2 linked regions of the Macaca mulatta genome follow. The protein of the gene in region 2 binds, or shares a complex with, the protein of the main gene of each other region. Links are inferred from orthologs where the notes say so. Each region holds a gene or a part of one and is shown on either strand. Other genes may lie near its edges. The genes, in order: PRKAG1 and PRKAA2.

Region 1 (15,869 bases), on a different chromosome or scaffold from region 2:
TGGGATTACAGGCGTGAGCCACAGGACCCGGCCTGTTTGTTTGTTTATAATTGAGACAGGATCTCACTCTCTGCCCGGGCTGGAGTGCAGTGGCACAATCACAGCTCACTGCAGCCTCAACCTCCTGGGCTCAAGCAATCCTCCCACCTCAGCCTCCCCAGTAGCTGTGACTAGAGGTGCACACCACCATGCCCGGCTAATTTTTAATTTTTTGTAGAGACAGGGTCTCACTTATCCAGGCTGGTTTCGAACTCCTGAGCTCAAGTGATCCTCCTGTTTTGGCCTCTCAAAGTGCTGGTGTTACACTGTGCCCAGACTTATTTAAATCAAAAATTTTTAATCTAGAAATTTACATAAAAATCCAAATTTCTAGTGTCTTCAAAGTCAGAAGATCTGCCAAAAATAGGTCTTAATTGACCAGACCTAGATAGTTGTTGCCTTTTTTTTTTGATGTTTTGATGTTGATCAGACTGGTCTGGAACTCCTGACCTCAGGTGATCCACCTGCCTCGGCCTCCCAATGTGGTGGGATTACAGGCATAAGCCACCACAACCCAGCTGCCTTAATTGTAATTTTTTTTTGAGACAGAGTCTTGCGCTGTCCCCCAGGCTGGGGTGTAGTGGCACGATCTCAGCTCACTGCAACCTTTGCCTCCCAGGTTCAAGCAATTCTCCTGCCTCAGCCTCCCAAGTAGCTGGGATTACAGGTGTGCAGCACCACGCCCGGCTAATATTTTTATTTCTAGTAGAGACAGGGTTTCACCATGTTGGCCAGGCTGGTCTTCAACTCCTGACCTCAGGTGATCCACCCGCCTTGGCCTCCCAAAGTGCTGGAATACAGTCATGAATCACCATAGCCAGTCCAGTTGTCACCTTCTTTTAGATGCAACACAAGATCTACAGGTTGTCATAATCATATGTGGTTCACTTCACTGCTTGGTCCATGTAGGCAATTTGAGTTTCAGGTTTCTGCCTTGGTGCTAATACAAATGTACTCAAAAACATAAAATAGGCACTGGCCGGCATTGGAATTGTCTTCCTTGTGCTCTGGATTTTAGAGGTTTAGTGCTTCTATTACTAGATTAGTTCTAAGAGCCTTTTTCTAATTTAATTTAATTTTTTTTTTCCTGAGATGGAGTTTCACTCTTGTTGCCCAGGCTAGAGTGCAATGGCACAATCTTGGCTCACTGCAATTTCTGCCTCAGCCACCCAAGTAGCTGGGATTACAAGCATGCACCACCACACCTGGCTAATTTTGTATTTTTAGTAGAGACAGGGTTTAACCAGGTTGACCAGGCTGGTCTTAAACTCCTCAGCTCAAGCGATCCACCTGTCTCGGCCTCCCAAAGTGCTGGGATTACAGGAGTAAGGCACAGCGCCCAGCCCTTTGCATAATTTTTTGTGTACACTCAATGGCTTTAATGAGCTTGCTGGGTGATAAAATCCTGGTGGCACTGTTTCTGGACTACGCAGAAAATACCCAGGACTTCTAAAACATGGTTAGCCAGCCCAGAGCTGCCTATGGAAGTTTTCCCTGTACCTCAGAAGTTTCTCTCAAGTGGTTTGATAATTGAAGATATTAACCATCCCCAATCTGCCCAAGATTTATTCCTGGGTGATCTTGCCAAACTACTGTCACTGATTTTTGTGGTTTGGCCATTATCTGGCCCTGCTTTGACTTTCCCAGGGGAGAGATTCAAAAGCATTGTTGAAGACATTGTTAGGGTCAGGCTATTGTTTCCATGCCCACTTTCCTTTCTTCAGTAAACTTACCTTGAGGATGCTCATTTTCCAGAGCTGGGGAGCTATCTGAAGAAATGACCTGGAGAGACAAGAAAACAGATTCAGCTTAACCTGGTTCCATCCATTTAAGCCTAGCAACATTAGGGGAAGGGCTGGTGAACAAATAATGACTTTCTTTAAAGCACTATAAAGCCACCACCTCCCCCAACCCTGTTTTTTTTCTGTTTCTGAGACAGGGTCCCGCTCTGTCACCCAGACTGGAGTGCAGTGGTGTGATCACAGCTCACTTCAGCCTTGACTTCCTCCGGGTCAGGTGATCCTCCCTCACTTCAGCCTCCTGAGTAGCTGGGACTACAGGCGCACGCCATTATACCCAGCTAATTTTTGTATTTTTAGTAGAGATGGAGTTTCGCCATGTTGCCCAGGCTGGTCTTGAACTCCTGGGCTCAAGTGATTGCCCTCCTTGGCCTCTCAAAGCACTACGATTACAGGCACGAGTTACTGCACCCAGCCTTATTAGGCTCTTCAGAAATAATGATCTCATTTAATCTTCATAACAACCCTGAAGTAAGTACTATTATTAGCCTTATTTTCACAGATTGTCTCTGAGAGTCAAGAGACATTAAGCAAGCTGTCCAAGGTCACATGGCTGATAAGGAGTGGAGCTGGCATTCAAACACCTATCTTCTGGTTCCAGAGCTTGTGGTTTGCTTTTTTATAACATCAAAATTTTAATAAATAACATACATGAAAAAACAAAAAATTTTAAAACTACTTATACCTAAGAAAATAATTTATTATAACTGATGAAGAGTTTGGTTATCTTGGCAGTGTTCATTTTTGTAAATTTGCTTGTTTGTTTGTTTTGTTTTGAGGCAGAGTCGCGCTCTGTTGCCCAGGCTGGAGTGCAGTGGCGTGATCTTGGCTCACTGCAACTGCCTCCTCCTGGGTTCAAGCGATTCTCGTGCCTCAGCCTCCTGAGAGCTGGGATTACAGGCGTGTGCCACCACATCCACCTCATTTTCATATTTATAACAGAGACGGGGTTTTTACCATGTTGGCCAGGCTGGTCTCAAACTCCTGACCTCAACTGATCTGCCCGCTTCGGCCTCACAAAGTGCTGGGATTACAGGCATCAGCCACCACAACCAGCCATTTTTATAAAATTTTTGAATGTATTTATTCCATTCTGATGAAATTCTACCTCTCTGGAATCACAGAAGAGAAGAAACCAATACTGCTACAATATTGTGCCTTCCAGAAATACTTCTATCCACTTCTGAGTGGAATGAGCATTATCTGCAAAGCTCATGTTCTTGTACACTATACCGCCTAATGAAACATTAGGTCTTAAAAGCTAAGACTAAAGATCTGAGCTTAGGGCTAACCCCTACAAGATTCTCACAGATCTACTTTATTAAAACATGGAAGCCAGAGAGATAGCATTGTCTTCCCCCAAACACAGACACTCACTAGGCATATTTGTAGGCACTAGAACCACAGACATTGGTTCTACCATTGTCTACCTCCATGGTAGAGAGAGGGCCACAACTGGGGAGGATCCCTGTAGCTGACTGTTAGCCAGTCAAAGCCTGAATGACTGAGAGGTGGATAAGGAACATGAATGTTCTGAAACTGGGGACTCGAGTCCACTCAGCACCCTTGTCAGTCAAACAAAGGCTGCTATAGCCAGGGGATGCTGGTTTTCCAAGTTTCCCTTCCCAAGGCAGTCTGAGATTAGAGTGCTTTGACTAGACAAAACTTAGAACCATTTCTGTGCTCCCTCAAGTGGGAACATTTGGAAATGCCATTGTTATTTAGGAACCCAGAAGGGATCACAACAATTTTCATCTGCTAGCATCAACAGTCTTGGCTCCACTTTCTCTGGGTGATATCTCCAAAATAACTTAAAACCATACTTCATCCCCATAGCTTCTGTAGTAACATGACATTAAAAACTTCAACCTGGGAGGTTGGCTGACAAACTTCCTAAACCAGGGAAGTTTACAACAGCCCTAAACTTTTCTCCCTTAATGGGCTAGGGGAGAGTGCAGGGAGTAAGGGGGATAATCTCCTTCTCTTCCCTCTGGACTGCATAAGACTGTCAGCTTGGCCTGCCATTTTGGCAGGACTATCAGAACAACAGCCTCATCACTTGTAAGTAGGAGAGAGGGCTGTGATAAACACATGATATATCAGAGTCTCACAAAGATCTACACAAAGGCACAAAAACAGCTACTTCTGTAGAATTTACCCATCATATGATATATATTGTACTGTGCGATACTTATTTTGTCCGTTATCTATCCAAACAGATTATAAATTCCTGGAAACCTAGAACTATCTTATACTTTGTATCCCCCATACCACCAAGCACAGGATTTTGCATATAATTCACAGTTGTTTTGTTTTTTAATTCTCAAAGAATGATGCACACTGATAGGAACAGATATGCCTAAGACTAAGTTACAGAGGGAGGAAAGAAACATATAGCTAACTAGAGATACAGATACCAACATAACAGAGTCAAATACAACTGAATATGTGACTTTTTTTTTTTTTTTTTTGAGACAGAGTCTCGCTGTGTCACCCAGGCTGGAGTGCAGTGGCGTGATCTTGGCTCACTGTAATCTCCGCTGCCCGGGTTCAAGCGATTCTCCTGCCTCAGCCTCCCAAGTAGCTGGGACTACAGGCACCTGCCACCATGCCCAGCTGAGTTTTTTTGTATTTTTAGTAGAGATGGGGTTTCACTATGTTGGCCAGGCTGGTCCTTTTTTTTTTTTTTTTGAGATGGAGTCTTGCTCTGTTGCCCAGGCTGGAGTGCAGTGGCGCGATATCCGCTCACTGCAAGCTCTGCCTCCCAGGTTCACGCCATTCTCCTGCTTCAGCCTCCCAAGTAGCTGGGACTACAGGCGCACGCCGCCATGCCTGGCTAAATTTTTGTATTTTTTAGTAGAGACGGGGTTTCACCGTGTTAGCCAGGATGGTCTCGATCTCCTGACCTCTTGATCCACCTGCCTCAGTCTCCCAAAGTGCTGGGATTACAGGCGTGAGCCACTGTGCCTGGCCAGCCAGGCTGGTCTTAAACTCCTGACCTTGTGATCTGCCCGCCTCGGCCTCCCAAAGTGCTGGGATTACAGGCATGAGCCACGGAGCCCGATAATGACTTTTAACTTTCTGCCTGTTTCACCATATCAGAGGGGGAATTATGTAGTTACATCTACTTCTTTCTACTTTTTTTTTTTTTTTTTTTTTGAGACAGGGTCTCACTCTGTCATCCAGGCTGGAGTGCAGTGGCATGATTACAGATCACTGTATCTTCAACTTCCCCAGCTCAAGCAATCCTTTGACTTCTGCCTCCTGGGCTGCTGGGACTACAGGCACACACCACTAAGCCCAGCTACTTTTTGTATTTTTTTGTAGAGATGGGGTCTCGCTATGTTGACGAGGCTGGTCTTGAGCTCCTGGGCTCAAGTGATCCGCCCACCTTGGCCTCCCAAAGTTCTGGGATTACAGGCATAAGCCACTGTGCCTGGCCTCCTTTCTACTTTTAATAACATAGGGGACCTGAGAAAGTACAACTGTACCACGTAAGTACAAAATATTACAGAGACACAGTCTACATCTGACAAACAGACTCGCAATTTCTTCCAAACTTCTGATCTACGTTTCCAATTATTTGTTTGACAACCATAGATGTCACAGAGACTCCTCAAATGCTTCAATACGAAACAAAACATTTGTCCCTCCAATCCTATTATTCTTGCTGTAGTTCCCATCTTGTTTTTTCTGTTTTATACAGCTGTCTTCTTACCAGTTATCAGCTAAGCTGGTAATGTTATAAATGCCTCAGATCTATATCTCTCTCATTGCCAATTTTACAGCCTTAATTTAGGCTTTTACCTCTCACTTCTGCAAGACTGTTTAAATTGGGGTCCTTGGCCCATATCTCTCTGCTTTTCAATTTGTCTTTCGTGCTTTCACCAAAGCATCTCAGGTTTGGAAGGGGCTTTCATCTCCATTAACAAGAAACTTTACTTTCCGAAGTAGCTCAGTCCATGTACAGAAAGCTGCTATGAACATTCCTAAAAGACATTCACTGACTTGCTCATAAATCTTCCATGGGTCCCCTATTACAAAACAAAGTTCAAATTTAGCATGGTGTGTAATACCTTCAACCTGATCTTAGCCTACTTTTCCAGTCTTTTCTCTCACTGTGACCAAAATCCAAAGCCAGCAACACCAAGCCGCTGGCTCACCCCCAATTCTCCACATCCCCCAGTTTCAGTGCCCTTGCTCATACTGTTCTCTCAATTTGCAGTGCCCTCTCCTAGGTCCAAAGTAATTTTTCTCTCAACTATTCTGTCACAGTCCTTTGTTTTCATATTAATGATAGCATTTATTATAGTCTACCTTTAAATAACAGCTGTTGCTGGCTTGCCCTCACCCTTACTCCAGTTAGGCTGAACATTTTCAAAGCAGGAGTTTTCTTTTTCTTTTTTCTGGAGACAGGATCTCGTTGTGTCACTCAGAGTGGAGTGCAGTGGCATGATCTCAGCTAACTACAGCCTCCACCTCCCTGGATCAAGCAATCCTCCCACCTGAGCCTCCAGAGTAGCTGGGACTACAGGTATGCACCACCACCATCATGCCTGGGTAATTTTTGTGTTTTTGTTTTTGTCAAGACAGGGTTTCATCACGTTGCCCAGACTGGTGCTGAACTCCTGAGCTCAAGCAATCCACTTGCCTTAGCCTCCCAAAGTACTGGCATTACAGGCATGAGCCACCACACCTGGCTGTTTTCTTTTTCCTCTTTTTAACTTCTACCCCAGAGCCTAATCCAGTACATAAAGTGTGAAGGCTAAATTAGAAAATCTACATAAAAATGCTCTGTAAACCATACTACACTCACAAGTAAGTAGAATATGACATGTTATTTTAAATTTAATGGAATTAGACTCCTTATTTTTGTTCAAGATTATCTTGATTAGTCAGAACTGGCTCCCTTGCCTGGGAGACCAACTGCGAATCGTTTTAGTACTTTGGTCGGTTTTCTTTTCAAAAACCTGAAAGAAACAACCTCTCTGTGGGCAGAGAAAGGGTGTGGCAAAGAATTACTATGGGCATGTAATCCAAAGCAAAGTGAACCTGCAGTCCTTTCATAACTACAGTAGCAAATGATAAAAACCAAGATGGGAAGAGTTACTCTGCCTGAAAGAAGACACATGGTTAAAAACTGTGGAGAGGGAAGTGTATGGGAGGGGTTACAGAGCGCTAGAAAAAGACTCCTGAGAGTGAGGGTGGGTGCAAACATGCAGCAGGCAACCCGCGGCATCTGTGGGAGGGTGACAGGGCCCTGCCACAACTGGTCAATGCCTGCTCGCCAAGAATGCGCTGTGCCAAAACTCCTGCTTAGAGTCGCAGAGCGGGCCATGACCTAAACTTGTCCAGGGACACATCGGCCTCTAACACTGCAAGTTTTCCTCTTTCAAGCAAACCTCAATTCTCGGTCTTATTAAGGGAATGTGACTTCACTGGATGCAGTATAAAGATCTTCAGATGTCCTCCTGCCAGGGATTGCAGGGATCACAGAAAGACTACCGAGGTCCAGCAGCTACCTGCAAGCGGAGATCCCTCTGGACACCCCCTGCCTCACCCAGCAAAGCCGCATCACAACCCCGCGCTCTCAAACCTCTAAAAGGGCTTGAGGTGCTAAGAGGAAAGGAAGCCCAAGATTGCCACGGCTTACGTGGGCTCCAAGGAGGGCCAGGAGTCACTGCCTGCTTGGGCTAAGGGTACCGCGTACGGAAAGGCGGCGGGGGCGCGGCCCAGTCCCAGGAGATGCGCCCAACGAAGAAGCGGAGGGACACGGTCACGGGATAGGGCAGACACCCGGCTGCTTTTTGTTTGCTAGACACCAGCGCCAGCCCCTGCCCGGCCCTCCCGGTCTCCTAAGCGGGGTCTTAGGCTCTACAGCGCCCCCGACCGCCCTCCTGCGCTCCTCACCGTCTCCATTGCAAGAGGCGCCGGCTTGGTTTTCTCGCTTTAGGAAACTCTCTTGGGGAAGGCCACGCCCCACATCCGGTGCGGCGACGCCACTTCCGCCCACGTCACGGCAGTCGCCAGACTACGGCGGAAGGCGTGGAACCCACCCTTCCGGCGGTGGCGGGCCTCGGTAACCGCCCTCCCCCGGGTCCTCTCGGACCGCACGGATCCGGCTGACGGCGAGGGTCACGGGACGGAGCCGCTTGTATTTAAAATGTTCTTTTTTTATTTGTCGTTTAAAAACAAACTTGGAAGAAGCAAAATCCAAAACTTGCCCTTTGCCTCTCGCAACATAAATTATGTACAGTTCAGAATGATCGCTGATACAAAACATGCCAAGGACAGGGGCGCTGAGGGTGGAGGGAGAGAGGGCGCTTTAAAAAAGGGAACCATTTCATCCGTTGTTACGAAGGACCAACCTTGCTGTACAGGATACACACAACACAAAATAAAGTCTTCACGGGATTCACACTTGTCAGCGATTTATTTTTTAAAAAGGGGGAGGGTCCTGGAGGTGAGGGGAGAAGACTGTAAAGGGGAAAACTGAAAATTGAGTATGTGCGAGTGTAAACCAACCCAAAATACAAACACGGGGGGGTGGGGGATTCTGATGCAATTATACAGGCAGGGTACTTAAAAAAAAACCAACCAAAATTCCAACCTTGTAGCTTGGGTCTGAGTTATAGTTTATATAAAAATTAAAAACTGTATAAGGTTTCTTCACTAAATTCTACAGGACTATCGGATACCTAGCATATGCTTACAAAGTCTGCCCCATCCCCTTTTCCCAATCCCAGGGCCCAAGCCCCAAACACAGCCTGACTCACGGGAGCCAATCTCCCCCTCCCTGTAGCCTAGACCTATTGCTCTCCGAAAAGGAACATCAAGGGCTGTGGCTTTGAGGGCTGCAGCCCAGTCTTCCTGCTGTCTGATTTAATTACAGCGGTTCCTGTGGGAGTGGGGGGTGTTATTCTCTTAAACATTTGCAGCTTGAAACAGTTGAGGAAGCAGCTTTAAAAAAAAAAAAAAAAAAAAAATCTCCCTACCCCCAACAATCCACAACTCCCCAAATTCAAAACAAAACAAAAACAAACCTAAAATCACAACAGCCACCAAGCTCCCCCTCCAGCAGGCCCGCCCGTCCACCACCACCAAGCCCACCCCTACACTCCAGACATCGGATTCTTGAAAATATTAATTACAAAATGCCCTTTGCCCACAGCCCCTAGAAGAGAACTGCATATAAGCTTCATCTTCATCCCCACGGTTCCCTACCAGAGAGGGGTTTGGGGTGTCACCCACCCCTTACCTACCCCCACCCCCAGGAAGAGGTTAAACTGCAGCACAAGCTTGGGCAGAAAGGGGAAGGAAAGGGAGGCAAGGAACCCATCACCCTCTGGCTCCCCCTGGGGTCAGCTCTCTTTTGTGCGTTATAACATAGTCCAACTATACAACAGGGGGTGGGAATTGCCCAGCCTCTATACCCCCATCTTACAGCAGTCACAGCCAGGGGGTGGGGAGTGGGGTGGGGGGTGAGGAAAAGGGCGGTAGGTTGGGTAATGGAGGGGGCCCCCCCACAAGGGGAGCTCCATGTGTCCGCCCCACACCCCCCTACCATTTATAAACTGGTTTTGTAAAAAGAAAATAGATATATTTATATAGAATATATAAAGCACAAAAATTAGTAGTTTTACATTTGCTCTCCCCGGGGGTGGGGGGAGAGGGGAGGGTTCTCACCTCCAGCCGGCTCCCCCATGCCCCACAAGACTATGTACAATCCCATGTATAAATAGATAAATACCCCCCACCCTCCCCTCGCTGACACTAAGCTCCCCACCCCCACATCACCACCCCTTCCCACCAGACCAGCAGCAGTTTGGTGACTGAGGGAAAGTGGGAGCTCCGGGCCACACCCTGCCTCATTAGGTATGGGCATGCCACTCAGGGATAGCCCTCACCCTACCCCCCACCCAACCCGTCCAGGGGCTGGAGGGCAAACGGGCTCATGATGGGGTTGGGAAAACAGGAGAGAGATATCCTGGTCCTAGGTTTAGCCCCCTCCTGCCCCCATGTCCAGATGGAGAAGGAAGTCCTAGAGCAACTAGGGGCCAGTCATCCCCAATCTTCATCATCATTTGCCTCAACCACCATCCCATGCCCATAATTAAAAACAAAGATGGATTTTTTGTTGTTGTTTTTCTTCCTCCTCCTACCCCCTCTTCCACCCACTCAGAAGAGGGCAGTGAGGTGGGGGAGAGGGTTGGGGCAGTAGGGGGCTTGGAGAGGGTCTCACATTTCAAAACAGCAAAAAATCCAACACTTAAATGAGGTAGGTGTGGGTGCGGGGTCTCCTTGCCCGGCTTGCCCAGCTTGCCCTCCTAGGCAGCTGGGCGCCTCTTTCCCGTTCATGTTGCATTTGTCAGAGTGGAAAACAAGGAAACACAACCCATAGAGAGACAGAAACACAGAGGAAAAGAGGGAAACAGACAGATCAAGAGGGAGGGGGATGGGGGTGAGGGTGGGGGCAGGACCCGGCAGGCAGGGCCAGGTGTGGGACCCGGCCTTTGGGATTGTCAAGCTTAGTCAAGTCTCTTTGCAGCCTTGAGTTGGGCCGGAGAGGTCAGTGGGAGCAGCAGGGCTGTGAGGCCCGGCCACACATCCTCTTCCCCCACCCTGCTGCCTCCCAGATGCTTCTGGGTAGTTCCCGGCCCATATCCCCCTCAAACCTGAGATGCCCAATGGCTGCTTCTGTCTGGCCCCTCCTGGAGCTGGGGGCAGAGATGCCAGCCTGAGGGCCGGTGGTGGGGAAGAGGGTTGTCCCTGGTGCCCAGGGTGGGCTTGGCCTAGGGCCCTCTGCCCCAGCCTCCTGCTCCAGGGGCTCCGGTCAGCCGGCAGCCCCAGCCCTGGGTCCTGGCTCTGGCTGCTACCTCTCTTCCCCCTCAACCCTTTCAGGGAAGAGGTTGTGGGTAGGGGGACTCCCCTGCCTGGTAGCCTCAAAGCTTCTTAGTTCATCCATTTCCGACAATTCCAGGCTCCACAGTGGCAGGGGATCTTGTGCTGATCGTCCTCAAAATCAAACTGATAGTCATAGGTTAGCTGAAAAGAGAAGAGGGCAGAATCAATGCTAGCCCCCACAGGAAGAAGAGAGGGCAGAGAAGATACGATCTGAGGTGTGCAGCCTAGGAACCCACATTTAGGGAATGGCAGAGAAGGGGTGAAAGGAGTAGTAGCTGCTTTGTCACTCACTCAGGATACTTCCTCTCACCTCCTCTCCTTTGGGGATTCGCCGGCTGGAGATGATGATGATTTTGTCCTCTTTGTCAAATGTCACGACTTCGGCCACACAGTTAGGGGCACAGGAATGGTTAATGTACCTGGGTAGAAGGACAGAGTCAGGGATGTCAGGCAACTAACTTGGGAAAATTTTGATTCCTTGTTGTCTATCCCCCAGAGTGCTACTCAGGGACCATTAATTTCCCTCCTTCCTCGTCATCTCTCACCTGGCAGGGCCGCCGGTCAACGTAGCATCAATCACATGTTCATTGTTTATTCGGAACATGTAGATGCCTCGATTCTAGAAAGGCAGAGGTTGCAGAAGAAGGGACAAGAGTATCAGAGAGTGGGATCACGTAGGAGACTCAGGCAGTGGGCTCATGTTCTTCATTTCTCCTGCCTTTCCCTTCCCCACCACAGCTTTCCTCCTGCCCTCCTATGACCAATCCTGACCCTTGCTCCTTGGTTGAGTGAGGACTATGCACCACAATGGCCCCTCTGTCAGCTTATACCTGCTCTTCGTAGATTTTCTCCCGCCGGTTGGCCACCTCGTTCCGAATGATGGTGCCAATGTACTCGATAACCATTGTGTGCTTTTCTAGGTCCTTAGCTGCATAGAGCCCCAGGCCCTGGATGCGGGAGCGAGCCAGGTACACGTTGTTCTTCCATTCGGTGCGCAGCCGCCGGTACTGAGATGACTTGGAGTGCACAAACTGCTTGCTGTACGGGGTGTTGGTCTCGCCTGTGAAGGTGCTCTGATATGCCTTAGACATGCTGGTGCTGTTCAGGGTATGGGGCCTGGGAGGTGATACAATCCATGACAAGACAGCTCGCCCTCAGACCAAGTACACACCACCCACCTCCTCCACCACCTCCTGGGATGTGCAACACATCAGTTAGGGGCGTGTGCTGCTGGCAAGCACTGGAAGTGCAGCCTTGGGAAAGGAGTAGAGGCAACTGGGTCTCAGCTCTGGTGAGGAAGCAACTAGCTATAGGGACCCTTCTGACACCCTGGGTGGTACAGAGAGCCCAGGGTGAGGGGTGAAGTGTGGAGGGAGATGGGGGGCACCAATTCCCCTACACTGAGCCTGCTCTCCCATCTCCCACTTCCTACCACTCTCCTGCCAAACCATTCTCAAGGCCATGCTCCTCTGGGAAGTTTTCTGCAAGTAGCCTAGGCCTAGAATTTAAGCTGATGGTTTGCCTGAATGTCTGAATCCTACCTCCTGCACATACCGGAAGCCCTGAAAATGGGGACTGTGCCTACCACGCTGGGCTAGATTTGAATTAAAACTGGCTGTGAACTCACAGCCTAAAGGTGGTATCCTTTCTTCAGATTGTCCCCTTCTCTGACATAACATTGGGCTCTGTGCAGATGGCTCAGTGCAGGGGAATGACGGCTGCCTGGCAGGATACCTTTTACCACCCTAGGGTACCAGCCAAATTCTTGCCATCCCAAAGCAGTGGTTTTCAAATGTTTCTGGTTCTTTTTTATTTAGCAGAAATCTTTGCTTTTTTCTTTAACAAAATGTTGACTGGAACTCCAATACATAAACTAGATGACAATGGAGCGCTTCTGGTTTAATCCAATTTGGGGAAGGAAGAGATATGCATGGGAAGGCCAAGTTCAACCCATCAGTTTATGTGATTGAGGACTTTTTGGAACACATGCACTCACAGTTTGAAAACCACCATTGCAGGGCATCAAGGACAAGGTTGGCTAGGGATAGAGAGTCTCTGACACTCTACGACAGCCTAGGAGCCACCAAAGACCTTCAAGAAAGCCCTGCTACCATAGATTCTGCCTCCCTCTACCCAAGGACTAAGGTCCCTGGTACACAGAAAGAACAAGGACCCACAGAGGTAAGGATCTGGTCCCAGCTGTGTGATCTTTGCCTAGTCATTTAATCTTTCTGGGTCTCAGTTTTCTCAGCTGTAAAATGGGGGTCATACCACCTGCCCTACCTACCTCATAAGGTTGTTGTGAGGATCAAATGAGATAATGGATGTGAAAACGCTTTGAAAAAAAAAGTATAAAGTGCTATACAAATGTAAGGTTTTATTATTTTTCTATTATATCTCTAACTATTTGTTTTTTACACCAACACTCACAGGGAAGGGAAGGTGACCCTAGCACTCATGGGGTATCTGAGGTTTGGGAGAATCACAGGCCCTCCCGCTGGAAGTAAAACAGGAGAGGAAAAAGGTGACCAGGTCCCTTATATATTTCATAAAATTTCACCAGTTTACCCATTACCTCCCCAGGGTGCCCGAGATAATTCTGTCCTATATCCCAAGTGCATCTGAGCAGGTTGGGAGAAGAGGAAAAGGATAACCTACCAATATCTGTGTGCCCTCTAATTAGGAGGTCTAAGAGTGATTCCCCAGTTTCTCCACGAGAACTCTGATCTGTATCCTAAATCCTCATGATGGGACCAGAGGATCCCTATCAACACCCACACCCTCCCTTGGCTCCAGCATCACAAGCTCACCGTTTGTAGTGTGTGAGGATTTTAGGCTCTGATCGGGCACAGCCAGTGGGGTTGATCATGAGTGGCAGCTCCATAAGGGGGTGGCGCCCATAGCGGAATAAATAGTTTTGACAGTTCTCCACCCCGGGCAGCTGTGGGCACAGTTCATACTCACCTTAGCCTGAGTTTTTTTGGGGTGGCCAAAGTTCTCAGTGCCCGCCAAGCCCCCCAGCTCCCAGCCCCTTCCTTACTGATTCAGCTATGCGAAGCACAGCGTGCACCGTCAGCCCAAAGAGCTCCTCGCCCTTCAGATACTCAGGGAAGAGTCGCAGCATGTCAGCCTCTTTTCTCATGGCAGCCACAGGCTCAATGATGCGATTCCACACGGCTAAGAAGCAGGGAAGAGAGCAGCCCTTAGAGGCAACTTCTGCTAACTGACCTCCAGTCCCTAACCCCAATCCAGAACCGCAGTTGTTTTCTGTGGCCTTCAAGCCTCCCTATCATGAAGGTGTGTTGGTCTTCCGGATCCTCTCTTGGCCTCCTAGTCTCACTGTCTGTTAAGAAGCAGGAGGCTTCCAACCCCAGGGGGTCATCACAGAGCCTTGAGACAGAAACCCAGGGCCCAGCAGACCCAGCATAGGCCATGGAAGGTCCCTAGTGAAAGAACAGGCATGCTTTGGAGTTGGAAAGACTTGCGTTCAGGTTCTAGTACTGGCCATGGGACCCTGAGCCAAAACAGTCATGTGCAGCTTAACAACATTTCATTCAATGAGGAATCATATATACAACAGTGGTCTAGTAAGATTATAATACTGTATTTTTACTGTATCTTTTCTATGTTTAGATGCACATACTTACCATATGTTACAACTGCCTACAGTATTCACTAGTTACATGCTGTACAGATTTGTAGCCTAGGAGCAATGGGGTATACCACAGAGCCTAGGTGTGTAGTATGCTGCACCATATAGGTTTGTGTAAGTACACTCTATGAAGTTCACACAATGACAAAATCACCCAACAATGCATTTCTCAGAATGTATCCCTGTCATTTAGCAATGCATAACTGTACTTAAATCTAAGACTCAGTTTCTTTATGTGTAAACTGGGCATAATCGTAGTACAATACTTACCTCATAGGGTTGTATGAACAAAATAAACTACACAAATCACTTAGCTTAGTTTGTGGCTCACAGTACACACTCAAAAAAAGGTACCTGCTCTTACTGTTATTTTATCATTAACACTAAAACTAAAATCAAAGTAATTCTTTTTTTTTTTTTTTTTTTTTTTTTTTGAGACGGAGTCTTGCTCTGTCGCCCGGGCTGGAGTGCAGTGGCCGGATCTCAGCTCACTGCAAGCTCCGCCTCCCGGGTTTACGCCATTCTTCTGCCTCAGCCTCCCGAGTAGCTGGGACTACAGGCGCCCGCCACCTCGCCCGGCTAGTTTTTTGTATTTTTTGTAGAGACGGGGTTTCACCGGGTTAGCCAGGATGGTCTCGATCTCCTGACCTCGTGATCCGCCCGTCTCGGCCTCCCAAAGTGCTGGGATTACAGGCTTGAGCCACCGCGCCCGGCCCAAATCAAAGTAATTCTGATTTCATCCAGGGAAAAACAACCACAAGGAACTCGGTTAGGATTAGGTTAGGTGAAGCAGACAATAGTCTCAGAACTGTTTCCTTTCGTTCCACTGAGGATAGCAAAAGGAACTAGAATATGTGAGATTAGACAAGCAAAATATTTTCAACTATAAGGGAATTTAGGGTGACAGAGAGGCTCAAACACTTTCACTGGGAATTTTCAAGAGACCCCCTGCCTGCCTGAGGTGGGGGAAGGAGGATCACTCACATGGAGGCTACAGGTCCTCTTACAGACACTGTAACAGTGACCCTGGGAGAAACTTTCCCCATACCATATTATCCATTTCAAGGGCCCACCGCTCACCCTGGGGAGAAGCGTCAGTGAAGACCAGGTCCTCCAGGCCCTGCTCGATGACTTTGATTACAAACTCCGGCCGCCCGTTGTTCTCACCAATAGAACAGCGATAGCAACAGCGACGATTGTTGGTGCGGAGGCTCCAATAGATGCGTGTGGCCTCGTAGCCCACGGGATAGAGGGCAGTGGCACTATGAAAGTCAGCCATCTGGTGAGGCAGCAGCTGTCCGATGGCGTGGAACACAAGGCCCCCCACACGGAACATGTGCAGCCGTTCTCCCCGCTGAATGATGCTGGCGATTTGCTTCACCTCGTCCCGCTCAATGTAGACCCGCCGGAAGACAGCAAAAGAGCTCAGCTCTTGCTCACAGGGCCCCTTGATCTTATGCATTGGACACAGCATG
Region 2 (15,842 bases):
GTGGACTATGACTTTAAAATGACCCATTCACACTAAATGCCATCTGCTGCCCACACTTACCCCCTCTCCAGCTTATGCCTCTTTCCTCCAAGAGTTTCTATGAGGGATATCATGGGATCTGGAATACATACATACATATATATGTATACAAAATACATATAATGTGTTTGTGTATATGTCTTCCAAGTGATATACAGGAGAGGGTGAAAAGTGAGCAGCTTCTGGAGAATTAGAGGTTCCTGAACATATTCATTTGCAGAAAGAAGACTCGAGTAAAACAAGACAGGAGGTAGTGAATTCTTCCCTCTCTCTCATTAATAAATTTCTGGTCTCAGAACCAGATCACAGATTATTCTCATAGTTCAGCTAATTGTGGGTTTAAGTACATAATGGTGTCTACATACACAAAAGTACATAAGTAATTCTGAGTGCTTTTTCATCTACCTACATTTTCTCATGTACTTCTCACAACACTAGAAGAGAACATATGGTATTATTCCCTTTTTTAGATTGAGTTTGACCACATGGCTGGTTTATGACAAAACAAAGGTTCCACCCCAGGTCTTCTAAGTCCAACACACTACAGAGAGTATATATACTATATCATGCTGCCTTTGTGGACATACTCGGAAACTAGCTACCATTTACAACATTGTTTCCTATTTAAAATACCCTTTGAAAGTCAAGCAACTGATTACACCAAATGAACGAAATCCATTCAGATATTAAGGACACAATTCAAAAATCATATAAATTATATATATATATATATATATATATATATATATATATATATATATATATATCAGCGAAAGAAACCTGAATAGCACATAATTCATTTACCTAATTGTTTGAGAGAATAATTCAACTGATTGTAATTCAATCACTAATCTAATATTTGAGAAGAAACATAGTTTCATTATTTGGAACCAATATTTAACACTTGTTTAGAATTTGAATAATTTCAAAAGTAAAATCAATTTACTGTGAATGTGTGTACATTCACTTTTATTTCACTATTAGTTCCATTTCATTCTTATTCATCTTCCATATTTGGGAAAAAACAAATTACATGACTTAGTCATAAAGGATATTGCTTTTAATATAAACATTAATAAGTATCATAAAGCACAGATGAAGTAGTCATTAAGAACTTTCTTCAACCTAGGCAACCACAAAACAGGGGCAGATTACTACAGCTCTATCTCAATGTTGGTGTGAGAACTGAAGGCATTTCAACGGAAAGTAAGTACTTCCTAACACAGGGTGCAGAACTTACCTACAATTACCATGCATCTCACCATCTCCACAACAGTCTCATCTATCTGTATAGCATTTTATCTTTTCCAAAGCCATTTTATGTACCTCAACTCATTTGATCTTCATAACTATTCCAGAAAGTAGGCAGGCCAAGTATGATCATTGTCATATTACGAAGGAGAAAACAAAGGCTCAGCGTCTAATGGTTTTTCCCAAAGGTCAGATAACTAGTAGTAGAAATGGAATTAAATTCCAGAGCTAATACCTTCTTATACCAACGTTTTCTTCTAGAATATCAAATCATTTGTACAAGTTCTCTTTCATCTGGTTACTAAAGGTTACTGGCAATCGTTAGTCAAGATTACTTTTATATCAGTAAACACATTGAAATCACTAGTATTTCTAAGAAACATGGGTTAAAACTGGTAGAATTCGGCACATTTATAATAAGAAAGATTGAGGCATCAAATTAAATTCTGGAAAAATAAAAATAAAAATGTTAATCATCTATATACGACATTTCAAAAAACGTTATTTATCTCTAAATATGGACTAAAAGACATTTAAATCTTATTTTCTCAATTCTGATAAATATGAGCAGACATAGAAAATTATATCCCTGTAGGTTTGAAACTCAGAACGTACTAGGCATTTTGACTTTATCGTCCATACAGCAGAGACTTTGCAGTCTGAGAACCCTGAATTTGATTGTTAGCTCTACCAGTTAATAGCACTGGAACCTTGGACAAGTTACTTAAAGTATCTGTTTCTCAATTTCTTCATTTGTTAAATGGAGATAATACCAAACTTCGAGGATTACTCTGGGGAATAAAAAAAAGCAAGTGCGTATATAGTACGGTTATTAGAATATAGTAACAACTTAATCAAATTGTACCTTTTATCACTGAAGTGTTGCAAATATGTTTCCTTTTCCCCTGTTCTACATTACATCTACATTTCAGATTCAGGAATTCCAATTTTCATTAACCAGGATGAATAATTACATACATCCATTTTGAGGAGTTAAATCTTTTAAAAATCGGTTTAATGATAGCTTTGTAAAGGACCTCACAGATTCGCTATTCCAGTGTTATCCTTTAGGAGGGGAAGAAAACAAGGACCAGGGAGTTTAAATTGGTCAGGGCTTCCACACTAGCACACAAGTCAGAAACAAATCCTAGTAAAGGACCAAAATACCACAGACATAACTTTTAGTTCCGTCAATTGATGGGACAGTTGTGTGAAATTTGATTTATCATTTAGGACTTGATATTTTCATTTCAAAATAAGGTAACACTTTTCGCTTTTTTGTTTTGTTTTGATTTGGTTTGGTTTATCCTTCCTGTTATCTCAAAAACAAGTGGGGAATTAGTAAAATATTTACTTAATTTCTTGAAAGCAGTCTGTAGGCCACTCATGTAACTATTTGAAAAACAGAAAGGGTAACTTCTTGGTGAGACTTTGCTGACAAGAAAGAACCTAAGTATCCCTTGGTGAAAAATTCCAATGAAGAATAATTATTTCATAAACCACATATGGGTAAATGTATTTCTGGAGTAAAATGTTGAAAAAAAATTTGTTTAAATCATAAACCACATATATACTACTCCTCATCTTGAAAATGCAGGCTTCTTTTAAAATAAATAATTGGCATTATAATTTTTTTTCTTCAACCGGTCTTTATATAGCACAAACAACAGGACCATTCTAGAATTTCTATCACCTTTAGAGAAGTTGAATAAGAGATGAACAAGTCTAATTACAAGAGCTCTCTAACAGTTCTACCCTACCCAGAGTGAGAACCTAAACAGTAAATATAGATTTTTTTTTTTTTTTTTTTTTTGAGACGGAGTCTCACTCTGTCTCCCAGGCTGGAGTGCAGTGGCCGGATCTCAGCTCACTGCAAGCTCCGCCTCCCGGGTTCACGCCATTCTCCTGCCTCAGCCTCCTGAGTAGCTGGGACTACAGACACCCGCCACCGCGCCCGGCTAATTTTTTTGTATTTTTTTAGTAGAGACGGGGTTTCACCGTGGTCTCGATCTCCTGACCTTGTGATCCGCCTGCCTCGGCCTCCCAAAGTGCTGGGATTACAGGCGTGAGCCACCGCGCCTGGCGTTTTTTGTATTTTTTAGTAGAGACGGGGTTTCACAGTGTTAGCCAGGATGGTCTCGATCTCCTGACCTCGTGATCCACCCGTTTCGGCCTCCCAAAGTGCTGGGATTACAGGCTTGAGCCACCAAGCCCGGCTGAGAAAAATTTTTAGTAGATAAAAAGCATTACTTATAAACTCTGCCAGCCCATATAATCTGTTTCCAAAAACAGTCCCCCAGCAATTTAATAATACAACAGACTAATGAAGGAGAAAATTTAAAACATTTTAAATAAGGCTTTACTAACAAATACAAAGATTTCCATATACTTTAAAAAAACAAATTAAAACTACTGCTATTAAAACTATTCCATTTTCAATTTTTGCTTTTTATACCTAACTTTGGTCCATAAATTGATATATCAACAACTGAAGTTATAATTTCTTTATTTCCTTCTTTTATTTTTTTAAGATGGAGTCTCACTCTGTCACCCAGGCTGTAGTGCAATGGCGCGATCTCGGCCCACTGCAACTTCTGCCTCCCGGGTGCAAGTGATTCTCCTGCCTCAGCTTCCCAAGTAGCTGGGATTATAGGCGCACACCATCACAGCAGGCTAATTTTTGTATTTTTAGTAGAGACGAGGCTTCACCATGTTAGGCAGGTTGGTCTCAAACTCCTGACCTCAAGTGATCCACCTACCTCAGCCTCCCAAAGTGCTGTGATTACAGGTGTGAGCCACTGTGCTTGGCTTAAAATTTCTAAATGTATAATTAGCATAACAGTCAAAGTTGGTCATGGTAGGACACACTTGTAATTCCAACACTGTGAGGCTGAGGCAGATAGATTGCTTAAGTCCAGAAGTTCGAGACCAGCCTGGCCAACACAGTCCCTAAAAAAGCTAATTCATAAACAAATAAATAAGAAAAAGAAAAAAAGTCAAGAGAGAAAGCACATAAGATGTTCCTTGCTTCTCCATTTCCATGTTTTTATAACCATTTGTCTGTCTGTCTGTCTGTCTATCTATCTATCTATCTATCTATCTATCTATCTATCAATCAATCAAAGACAGGGTCTTCCTATGCGCCCAGGCTGGTCTTGAACTCCTGGGCTCAAGGGATCCTCCTGCCTCGGTCTCCCAAAATGCTAGGATTACAGGCATGGACCACCACACCTGGCCAACCTTTTAAAATTAAATCATCTCTTATTAGCTTTTTTAGTAGAAATTCATTTTGCAATGTCTAAAATCTACAGCAATTAAAAATGCACCTGCTTTCAACAAAAACTGCTGGGACAATTGGTTATCCACCTGCAAAAAGTTAGTCTTACACCCTTATCTCACACCATACACAAGAATTAATTCAAAATAGATCACATAGTTAAATATAAGGGCTAAAATAATAAAATATTTACGAGAAAACATAAAAGAAAATCTTTGAGACTTGGGCTAGGCAAAGATTTCTTGCCATGACATCAAGAGCATAGTCCATAAAATAATTTTAAAAACTAATAAATTGGATCCCATGAAAATTCAAAACTTTATACTTCAAAAGACACAAGAAAATGAAAAGACACAACAGACTGGAAGAAAATATTTGCGAAATATATCCATTAAAGGATCTGTATCCATAATTTACAAAGAATCCTCATAACTCAACTTATAGGATGACAAGCAACCCAATTAGAAAATGAACAAGAGATATAAACAGACATTTCATCAATGAAAATACACAAATGACTAGTAATTACATGAGACAATGTTCAACATCATTAGTCCTTTGGAAAATGTAAAATTAATGCCTCAATGAGATACTATTTCGCACCCACTAGAATGGCTGTAATAAATCAGGCAGACACTAACAAATGTTGGCAAAGATACTCAGAAAAGGGAACTTTCATACATCTTTGATGGGACTGTTATAAAATGGTGTGACCATTTAAAAGTGTGGCAGTTTCTCAAAAAGTAAAACATAAAACTATGATATGACCCAGCAATTCTACTTCTAGTTATCTACCCAAGCTATGTGCAAACATATGTCCACATAAAGACTTACATCTTACATGTGAATATTCGTAATGCCATTATTTATAATAGCCCAAAACTTGAAACCATGACCATCAACTGGTTTTGTATAGAGAAAATGTGGTATATCCACACAATGGAATATTATTCAACTATAAAAAGGAACAAACTAATGACACATGCTCTGTCATGCATGAATCTCAAAAGCATTTTTAAAGAAGCTAGACACAAAAGATGACATATTGAATGATCATGTTTATGAAGAAGTGCCTAGAAAAAGCAAATTTATACAGGCAGAAAACAGATTAGTGATTTCCTGGGACTGAGGGTAGGAAAGAGATTAACTGTGATGGGTATAAGGAATCTTACTGTGGTGTCCTCAAATGTCCTAAAACTGATCTATAATGATGGTTGCAACATTTGGCAAAATTAGTAAAAATCATTGAATTGTACACTTAGAACGGATGAATCTCATATATAAAATATACCTAAATAAAGCTGTTTTCCTTTTTTTTTTTTTTTTTTTTTTTTTGAGATGGAGTCTTGCTCTGTCACCCAGGCTGGAGTGCAGTGACGCAATCTCGGCTCACTGCAACCTCTGCCTCCCAGGTTCAAGCGATTCTCCTGCCTCGGCCTCCTCAGTAGCTGGGATTACAGGTACCTGCCACCACGCTCAGCTAATTTTTGTGTTTTTAGTAGAGACGGGTTTTCGCCATGTTGGCCAGGTTGGTCTCAAATTTCTGACCTCAACTGAACCGTCCGCCTCAGCCTCCCAAAGTGCTGGGATTACAGGCATGAGCCACAGTTTAAAAAAAAAAAAAAAAAAAAAAAGACTTGTTTCACTTGTCCCTTGAAGAATTATATGAGTAACTGTAGATTGTAGCAGTTTCTATAATTTTTATTAAACAATTGTACTGATCATAATCTTGGATAGGAAACCATAGTATCACTTTTCAGAGGATCTAATACAGTGTTAGGAAAACTCCTTCAACTGGTTGTTCATTGGACAGAGGTTCTCCAGGAAAAGGATTTCTCATAAATCAAAGTTCTTTCTGTTTATATTTCAAGAAGCCAGTGCCTGGAAACAATTCAAAAGTACACACAAGAGATTTAAGTTGTCTTTGACAATGGACTGATTGATCTGATGGGTATTCTACTCTACATTCAGATTACAGTATACAAACTTAAAAAGACCAGCAAAAATTTTTAACACAATTTGAAAGGACATAGGGTTAAGTTATATAACTTTGAGAGTGTACATGTCCAAATGTCAAAGGCACTGTTTGCTTGAGCAACTGTATAATGTTGTAACACAATAGTCCTTAATAATGATACTAAATGACAAGTAACATTACAGGCTTACTGTATCCCTTACAATCCCTGGATCGTCCTGTATTCATCTTAAACATATTCTAACTATCCACTCTACTTATAAGGTCTTTCAAAAATAACCCAGGACTTCATAACCCTCACAGAACCGCAAAGAATTTTACAAACTTTTTAGGTCATTGCAAAAATACCACCTTGTCTGACCACCTTATTGAAAACTGCCAACCTCACAAAACTATCTTCCTTTCCCTGCTTCATTTTTCTCAGTAAAATTAAATATACCTTTTACATACATATTCTGATTACTGTCTGCCTTCCCCTACTAGAAAGCTCCATGAAAAGATCCGTTTTTTCGTTGCTGTATCCTCATTGCCTAGAACAGTGCCTACCACGCTGCAGGTGCTCAGAGTTTTTTGAACAAATGAATGGGTATTAAACACGTGCAAGAAAACAGGAGCTGATTCTTACCACAGGAATGAACAATGAGTCTCTTCTACTCATTCAACAGCCTTGACTTGGGGTTAAAATACGAATTTTACAAGGAAATAGAGACCTCAGAATAAAATTTCCAGACTGCCTACTCAGCATTTCTTCAGCAAAGAGAAAAAAAAAAAAAAAAAAAAAGCCAATGTTTCACTTATAATTCTGGATTTACAACAAAGTATTTTTAATAAACAACTGTGTCTATTCTGGAGAGAAGGCAGGTTAATTAAATCCCATGTGACTAATTAACAAAAAAGAAAACAAATGAAAGCTCAACACAACTATTCTTACTAGTTAACTTAACTCTAATAAAGTATAACATTTCAAAAGCAGCCTGTCTTCCTACACCCAAAATGGGATCCTATCTCCATGAAGACAGACCTTAGCAGAATATGCCTTAGTAGTCCTGACCTCCTCAACCTCAATCCTCCAAACACCAAGGAAACTTTTTCTCTCCCTTACCCCAGAAGTCTTCCCATAGCCATTTTACAAACACAACCACCTTCAGACCTCTCTGTTCTAATTAACCTCTGACCCAATCCAGCTGCATTCCAGCGTTTAACAACACCCCAGGAAGAAAGACTCACAACCTCTGGCCCCTGGAGCATCCCCCAAACAGTCACCCCCAAAAACCGAGAGTCCTGGAACATGAAGGAATCTGGGGATGGCAGGGACCTCCCAGCAAGACCAGAATTGGAGGACATCTTAGACTTCACTCTGGTACTGCCCATTTCTGTGTGACCTTGGGCTTGTTACTCCATCTCTAGGGGTCTTAGTTTTCTCACCTTAAGGGTGAGGACATGTTGACCGAGTCACTGTAGGATTCAATGAGATCCCATGTAAAGCACCTAACAGGGCACCCGGCAGGAAACGGCGCCTCAGTCCTCAGCGTGCATGATCCCCGCCCTGAGCCTACAGGCTCAGAGCTGGGAGGCGCCTCGTGGATAGAGTCCAATCTCCCGGTTTTGCAGAGGACACTGAGGTCCAGAGAAGACAGAAGTGCCTTGCTCCAACCTCCGGAAAGGCGGATGGGCGCGGGACCTGGAACCCAGGACGCCCGTCTTCAGCCCACACCCCCGCCCCCTTCCCTGGACCCTGCGGGAACCGGGCGCCGGTGCCAGGCGAGGCGGTGCGCGCCACCCTCCCGGGGCCCCAGCTCCGCGCGGCCCGGGGCCGCTCCACCTGCCGCCGAGCCCCGCGCCCGCCCGAGGCCCGGGGCTCCCGCCTCTCCACCCGGCCTCCCGCAAGCCAGGCAGCTCGCACAGCGGTCCGGAGCGCGTACTCAACTCTTCACTTTGCCGAAGGTGCCGACGCCCAGCGTGTCGCCCAGCACGTAGTGTCCGATCTTCACCCGCCCGTCGTGCTTCTGCTTCTCAGCCATCTTCCGCGCGCGCGGCCTCGCTTCGCCGCCTGCCGCTCCGCGCCGCCGCCGCTGCCGCCGCCTACCCACAGTGCAGCGGGCCCTGCGGGCGGGGGGGCGGACCCCGAGCCGCGAGGGGCACGGGGCTGCGCGGGGTCCCGGGAGGGGGCGCTGGGCGCGCCGGGCCCAGGTGGGAAGCAACGGGCGAGCGGCGGGCGGGGCGGGGCCGAGGGAGCGCGCGGCGCCGGCTCCCGGGAGTGAGAGGCGCCTGCGGCAGAGCCAGAGGCAGCGACGGCGGGGGCCGGGGACGCGGGGCGCTGGGCGGGAGTGCGGGAGGGGCCGCGCCAGGTGCGCCGGGTCCGAGTGAGGGACGGATGCGGCAGGTGCTGCGAAGTGGGGTGGGCGAGGGTCCCGAGGGAGCCAGGGTGCCCTTTCTGAGGAAAACCGAAGGGGGTGAAAATGGGGGGTGAGGCTGGGGCCCGTTTCTAGGGAATGGAAAGACGTGGAAGTCAAACTGGAAGAAGAGACGAGCCTCGGGTGTGGGGAGCGAGGGGCTGTAAAAGGGAAGAGGCGAGAGGGGAGACTGCGGGAAGGGCCCTGGTCAAAAGGGCAGTGGCAGAAGAGCCTCTAGGAAGCCCCTCAGTTTCGTCTGAGGCTTTTGGATACAGGTCGCGGCACAGGGAGAACGCACGCAGCTCTGTGCGCTCTTGAATTGTCCTCCTCTACTTATTCTGTAATTCCCAATTATTTTGTCCTGTAGATAGAAGAGACCCTCTCCGCCAGAGCTCTCAGTTGTAACTAATTTGCCCACAGTTTTCCAAAAAATCTCAGTCACGGTATTTGCTCGAGTGTATTTTAGCACATGCTTATATAAATAAGTAGTTTTACCACGCGCTTATATAAACATATAGTACCGAAATGTGATACAGCTGTATAAGAGGGAAATGGGAAAGACGTGGAAAGGCAAACAACATTCTGCCCACAGAAAGTAAAATACGTGAGCGACAGAGGAATTGTGAAGGGCGAGGCCAATACAAGGCCACATATTAAAGGAAGAATAAATGTGATATAGAAGTGAAAAGAGTGGTAAGAGGAAATTAGAAGCATGATGCCTAGGTAGCGTGTTCAAAGACTGACCTCGCCACGCCCCCCCCAAAAAAGAAAAAAGACTGGCAAAGAATTAGGTAATAAAGTGATGATCTCTGCCTCCCTTCCTTCTTTGCCGCCCTTCCTTCCCTCCTTTCCTTCCTTCATGTTGTCCCATTCTTTAATGTTGTTCCGTATTTCAGTGATTAAAGTTTATTTGCTTCTCACCACACACACACAAAGATTCGTATCCGTTTGTTAATTAGCTTGACATAGACATTCCACAATATGTATTTCAAAACATATACATACTAAATATATACAATTTTTATTTGCCAAAGAAAAAATTTTAAAACTAAAAAAATATTGCTGTTTGGGGATAAGTAATTAAGGATTAGTCAGACATTTATAGCACTGCATGCCAGTAGAGTTTCAAGGTCACATTCCTCAAACATGAAGTCTCTTGAACACTGTTTATATGTAAATTGAAATTATTGATAAAAAAGAATAGGACACAACAAAATTTTGTTTTCTGAGAAGTACTAAATATAGAAATTTCAAACATTCATTCTCATCCAAACATCAAGACAATCTGATGAGAGATGATCACAGCTTATAAATTATAGATATCACAGCTGTTAAACAGAGGCTATTTTTGTTCATTCTTCAGATCATCTTTCTTGCTGACAAGAAGTATCATTTAGGAATCACTCTACCTAGCTGGCAATTTTGAGAAAATAGCCAGTTATTTTTGTGCTGAGCTTTCATCTGGTTAAGGGTCATTCCTTCAGTATTCAAGTGAGTAAGAAAAGCCCTATTCTGCTTTTGCCGTATGAGATGTATATGTCTTCTGCTCTAATATCCCGTTAAAAGGTGTTGAAAAGTCTTAGATTGCTTTCTTGAAGCTACATTAAGACGAACTGTAAATTGAGAATTTAAAGCATTTCATACTGTCTTAACTATTATTAAATACTGTAAATTAAATTATTTTACACTTCATAACAATGATTCTTACATAGTCATTGTGGACTACCTTATAGTTTTGTTACTATCTGAAACATCTATGATACTTTGTTGATTAAGAAGTTCATTTAAACACAATTATCTCGTTTAATTTTCATAAAAGAAAGATTATTATTCCCATTTTATAGATGATAAAATTTAGTTTTTCCCTTTCTGATTTTCCCAAGGCTAAAAAGTGGCAGAGTCAGAACTTATACCCAGTTCTGACATGTCCTTCAGTCTGCCTAATATACTGCAGCTGCCTATACAAAAAGAACGTATGGTGCTCTAAGAAAGTTAAAAATGGTCACAGTTGTGATTCCATTTTCATATTTTTATTATTTCTTGGGCAGTCCAATAATATATCCTACAAATTTGTAAGTATTTAAACTACTTTTTGTTGCTTTTCTGACTTCTATTTAGAGGAAAGGTTGAATGCTAAGTGGGTAAGAAGGACAACTCTTGGTGCAGCACTCAGCCCTCTGTTGTCCTGGACACTTCAGATAAGGTTCCATATTTGCCTCTTCCTACTCAGCAACAGAAAACCCGACAGTTAATCAGACTAGATCTCCTTAAGAGTCATGCCCCTTGGAGGTCTCACCCCTAAAGATGTTCTGGTAAATGCAATGTTCCCATTTCATTATCTTCCAATGAAGGTTTCACACCGCTATTGTTTAGTACCAGTTTCTAAGACCGGTGCCCCAGAGAGGTGCTCAGTTCTTGGCGCTGGTCCAACTATTACTGCTTTACCCTCCTACTTCTGAAACTTTGGGGTCATTTTACCTTCAAATATTCTAAAATAAATCCTAAATAGTACATTAATGCAAGATCACTAAACTAATATACTATACTAGATACCATTGATTTTATCAGTAACCAATTCTTTCAAGTCTTTGCTCAGTCACCTTCTTGGTGAATCCTACTCTGGCCACCCTATTTAAGTTGCAGTTTCTTTTCTTTCTTTTCTTTTTCTTTTTTTTTTTTTTAGAGTCAGGGTCTCACTACGTCACCCAGGCTGGTCTCAAACTCCTGGACTCAAGTGATTCTCCTGCCTCAGCCTCCCAAAGGACTGAGATTACAGGTGTGAGCCACCGCACCAGGCCTAAATTGCAGTTTTACCTCACTCATGCTCCCTGCCCTGCACTCTCCGTCCCCTGACCCTCCTCAACTTTTTTACATAGCACTAGCCATCTAACATACTATTTAATTTACGTGCTTATTATATTTTTGTCTGTTTCTCACCATTAGAATCTAAACTTCACAAAAGAAGAGAGGACTTTTTTCTCTATTTTGTTCACTGATGTATCCTTAGCTCCTGGGACAGTGCCTGACGAAACATAGACATCCAAACAGATTCAAAGAGTGTGGCACCTGAAGTTTATTCAGTATGGGGGAACCTCTTTAAGGGGGAAAAAATGCAAAATTGGGTATGAAAGTATTTGAACTGAAAAACAACTATCTAGAAATTTATAAAAGCTGACAAATGCCACAAACATCCCCAAATCCAGAAAAATAACAATATTTTTATAAATTAATTATCCAATATACCTCTATAATACCTGTTTTCTGCATTTTCTGGATGTGTACTCTTTGATTACCTCTTTATATTTTGTAAATTTTTAAATAGAATAGAAAGATAATTCTGACATTAAGCATGATTCATTGTTTTTCATTACGTTTCTTTTTACGTTTTCCATTGTACATGTTTAATATAGCTAATACATAATTTATCAATTCTATTATCATATACATTATACATACATATAGATATATACATATATGTATTTATATGTATTTTTTTACATATTATATATGCAAATGATATGTTCATATCCCACTTGCTGTTTCTGGGGCCTAGTGGAACCTGGTATATCATTCCAAAAATATTTGCTAAATTGAATTTTAGAAAGGGTTAGTTATTAAGTTAGAGAATCAAGTAACAACAATACAGGGAAGAGTGCAGTTTTATCTTATGTATACACATATTAAAGGCAAAGCATAATTTTACATCTCAGCACAGCAGTCATTAGTGAGGTTAGAGAGGCATGAGTTAGCACCTCTGAAGTCTATAGATTCATGATATAGGGCTTCTATGGTTGTCTCCAATTTAAAATAAAAAAGTTGGACACTCGATGAATAATAAAGGATGTTTATGGTATTTTATAGGAAGTACAAGCTCAATAATTACATTTTTAAAATTTTGTGTGAAAAACTTCAAACATACACAAAAGTAGAGTAACATAAATAACCTTAGCATCGGTGATGATCAACATTGTCATCATTTACCAATCTATCTCTGCACTTTTAAAATTTATTTTCTGGAGTATTTTAAAGTAAATAACCAGATTATTTCGCTGGCAAATACTTCAGTATATAGGTCTAACAGATAAGCACTTCTTTTTAACACAGCCATGCTACTACTATCATATCTAACAAAATTAACACTAATTCCTTACTGTTATGAAATACCCACTCTGTGGTGAATATCCCTTGATTGTCTCAGGAATGTAGTTTTACAACTGGTTTATGCTAATCAGGATCAAAAAAAGTCACACTTACCATTTTGTCAATACATCTCTTTTAATATACAGTGTTTTCTCCTCCCACTCTTTTTTTAAAATGTCATGTATTTGTTGAAACATCGAATCATTTTAACTGTTGAATATCCCAATCTTGTTGGATTTATCTGAACAATTATTCATGATCACAAGAGGTAGTAGAAAAAGCTCAATATTTAGAATAAAAAATCATGGCCTGGTGCAGTGGCTCACACCTGAAATCCCAACACTTTGGGAGGCTGAGGCAGGTGGATCTCTTGAGTCCAGGAGTTCAAAACCAGCCTGGGCAACATGGTGACAACCTGTCTCTACAAAAAATAGCTGGGCTGGTGGTGTGCGTCTGTAGTCCTAGCTACTAGGGAGGCTGAGGTGGGTGGATCACCTGAGCCTGGGAGGCAGAGATTGCAGTGAGCCAAGATCACAGCATTGCATTTCAGCCTGGGCAACTGAGCAAGACCCTGTCTCAAAATTATATATATAATTAAATATGTGTATATACATATATACATATATATGTATATATGTATATCTCTATACAGATGTATACATACATATATGTATATATGTGTATATATGTATATATGCTAAATTGAATTTAGCATATATATACTCTATATGTATATACAGTATCTGTGTGTATATATTTGTACATGTGTATATATATCCTGAGTTCATGTTCCATCTTAGCCTCTTAGCAGTATGTCCTTAAACAGATCATTTCACTTCTTATTGGTAAAACTAATAGTGTTGAACTAGACTATAAAGTACTAAGGTACTTTTCAGTTGTTGAGACATTCAACTCCCAAACTCCACTTCCTGTTTTAGAGTTGAACAATAGAGGGAAAAAGATAGAGTGATTACTGTAAAGTATTGTAGGTCACTGTCCAAGGTATCTCAACAAACTGATCTTGCCACATTATTTTCCCTATACACAGTTTATCTCCTAATATTTGTCATCATTGGTTTGTAAGGTTGAGATAATACTATTACAGGCCTAGCCCCCTTCAAAGAGATAAGTAGATATGCGTGACAGTACTTGAAACCCTTTAAAGGAAATGTAATAAATGATTTTGAGATGGTATTTTTAGCAGGTACCCTAGTAACAAATATTATACTTAACATAATCCATTTTCATTTTCTGACTGAGTACATTTCTAAATTGCTTCGATATGAGTCAACATTATAATTTTCAGTGCAGCTGAGGAAAAAAAAACATTTTGGATCAGACTTCCTTCATGAGCAGATGCATTAATTGGAATAACAAAGGTTGTTTGCTTTGCTGTATAAATATTATGGATCTGACAGCACTTTTAGAATCTTGCTTTCATGTGTGTATTGACAGCTTGTCTGAAAAAAGCTCAAATACACTTTTAGATCAGTTAAATCAATTATTTCCCTCCTGGCATGGATTCAGTGACTATCTGTACTGAATACTTTTGAACTGGTGACGTTTGGGTAAGGAGATACCAATGTCACCTTGAGTTGATTACCATCTCTGTTATGGCTGTCCATTAGAATTAAAACAACCCCTGACAAAACGATGTAATATACATATTATTTGAAACCTTTTATAATACTTTTAATGACCTCAAGTGGGTGTTAATGCTTTGGCTGTTGGCACAATCCTGTTAACATTAACTACTAAGCTTTGACATGATTAATACAAACTTAAGATAAATTAGGTAATTTCAAGTTCTAAATGCTCTATAAATAATAAACTAATTCTCCTTCCAAGAATAAAGACCTTAACAAATAATGAGAGAATTCAATTTCTTTTTTTAATTTGTATGTAGGCGTAGACTAGGTACCCTTTCAAGACTCTGGGGTTTCAATTCTGTAAAATTCTGTTAATAGTTTTAAAAAGCATTAATTAATAAACTTTTCACCCTCTACTTTTAAAATATTGAAATGTTTTTAAATTGTTACACAACTAGCTATTCCACAGATAAAAGGTTTCTAGATTCTCTGAGTATATCATTGCTTTGTTCTAAGTACATTCATTTATTGAACAAAGATATATTGAATACCTGCTGAGTGCACACTACTCTTCTAGGCACTGGGAATGTAGCAATGAACAAAACAGTATAGCCTATCTTATTTACCACTTATAATGGTAGTTTTTGTTAGAGAAAAGAATTATTCATGACACTTACTAAAGACAGTAAGGCAGACTTTATTTGGGACTATTGTGATAGTTATAGGACCTCCTGCAATGAGGTTTTGCAGTAGGAGAGAGAAATTGGGCTTAACTCCAAATACAACAAAGAAAAGTAGAGATTTATAGCCAAGGAGGAGGAACAAGATGTGTTGATGAATGGAAAATTACTAGGAGGGTGGGGTAATTCTTTGCTAAACTGACCTAACAGGATTCTTGCTGAAGGCAGGCCAGGGTGATCAGCTATTACCCAGGGAATGGTGTGGGGGTGAGAAATTTGGTTAGCTATCAAGAGTGGTCAGGTAGTGAGGGTGGGGAATTTTGGCTAAATTGGCTTAGCAGAATTCTTGCTAAAACTGGGCTCTTGAAGACATGCCCAAGGCCAGGACCTAGTGGGTCAGAGGAGTCTGACTAGAGTTAGGTCAAGAAAAGAGTATTTTGTGGCATTCTACTGAAAGAACCAGAAAATAAAGAGTCAAATAAATATATAATGTAATGT

The links.
Region 1: the proteins of PRKAA2 (region 2) and PRKAG1 are in contact, whole or in part, in a crystal structure (PDB 6B1U), measured with the Homo sapiens proteins. The link is inferred for Macaca mulatta from reciprocal best matches to the Homo sapiens genes PRKAA2 and PRKAG1. Residues at the interface, in NP_006243.2 of Homo sapiens: Asp329, Asn330, Ile333, Met334, Ala337, Phe340, Tyr341, Leu342, His366, Pro367, Glu368, Arg369, Met370, Pro371, Pro372, Leu373, Ile374, Asn444, Val446, Thr447, Pro530, Arg531, Leu532, Gly533, Ser534, His535, Thr536, Met537, Asp538, Glu541; in NP_002724.1 of Homo sapiens: His36, Asp40, Leu41, Ile42, Pro43, Thr44, Ser45, Val50, Phe62, Leu64, Val65, Thr66, Gly68, Val69, Arg70, Trp75, Ser77, Lys78, Lys79, Gln80, Phe82, Pro158, Glu159, Ser160, Gly161, Asn162, Lys170, Arg171, Lys174, Phe175.

What each region holds. Positions count from the first base shown.
Region 1 is NC_133416.1:56,177,765-56,193,633, forward strand, and holds the start of PRKAG1 (5'-AMP-activated protein kinase subunit gamma-1), read right to left. Parts: upstream 7,811-15,869; 5' UTR 7,758-7,810; coding exon 7,749-7,757; exon of another isoform or gene 7,263-7,748; intron 6,373-7,262; exon of another isoform or gene 6,253-6,372; intron 1,822-6,252; coding exon 1,773-1,821; exon of another isoform or gene 1,374-1,772; intron 1-1,373. Other genes in the region: KMT2D (histone-lysine N-methyltransferase 2D), read right to left, coding at 10,791-10,883, 11,053-11,161, 11,288-11,361, 11,573-11,858, 13,030-13,077, 13,553-13,683, 13,783-13,919, 15,475-15,869. UniProt on the Homo sapiens protein: AMP/ATP-binding subunit of AMP-activated protein kinase (AMPK), an energy sensor protein kinase that plays a key role in regulating cellular energy metabolism.
Region 2 is NC_133406.1:183,970,797-183,986,638, forward strand, and holds the start of PRKAA2 (5'-AMP-activated protein kinase catalytic subunit alpha-2), read right to left. Parts: upstream 8,595-15,842; 5' UTR 8,564-8,594; coding exon 8,470-8,563; intron 1-8,469. UniProt on the Homo sapiens protein: Catalytic subunit of AMP-activated protein kinase (AMPK), an energy sensor protein kinase that plays a key role in regulating cellular energy metabolism.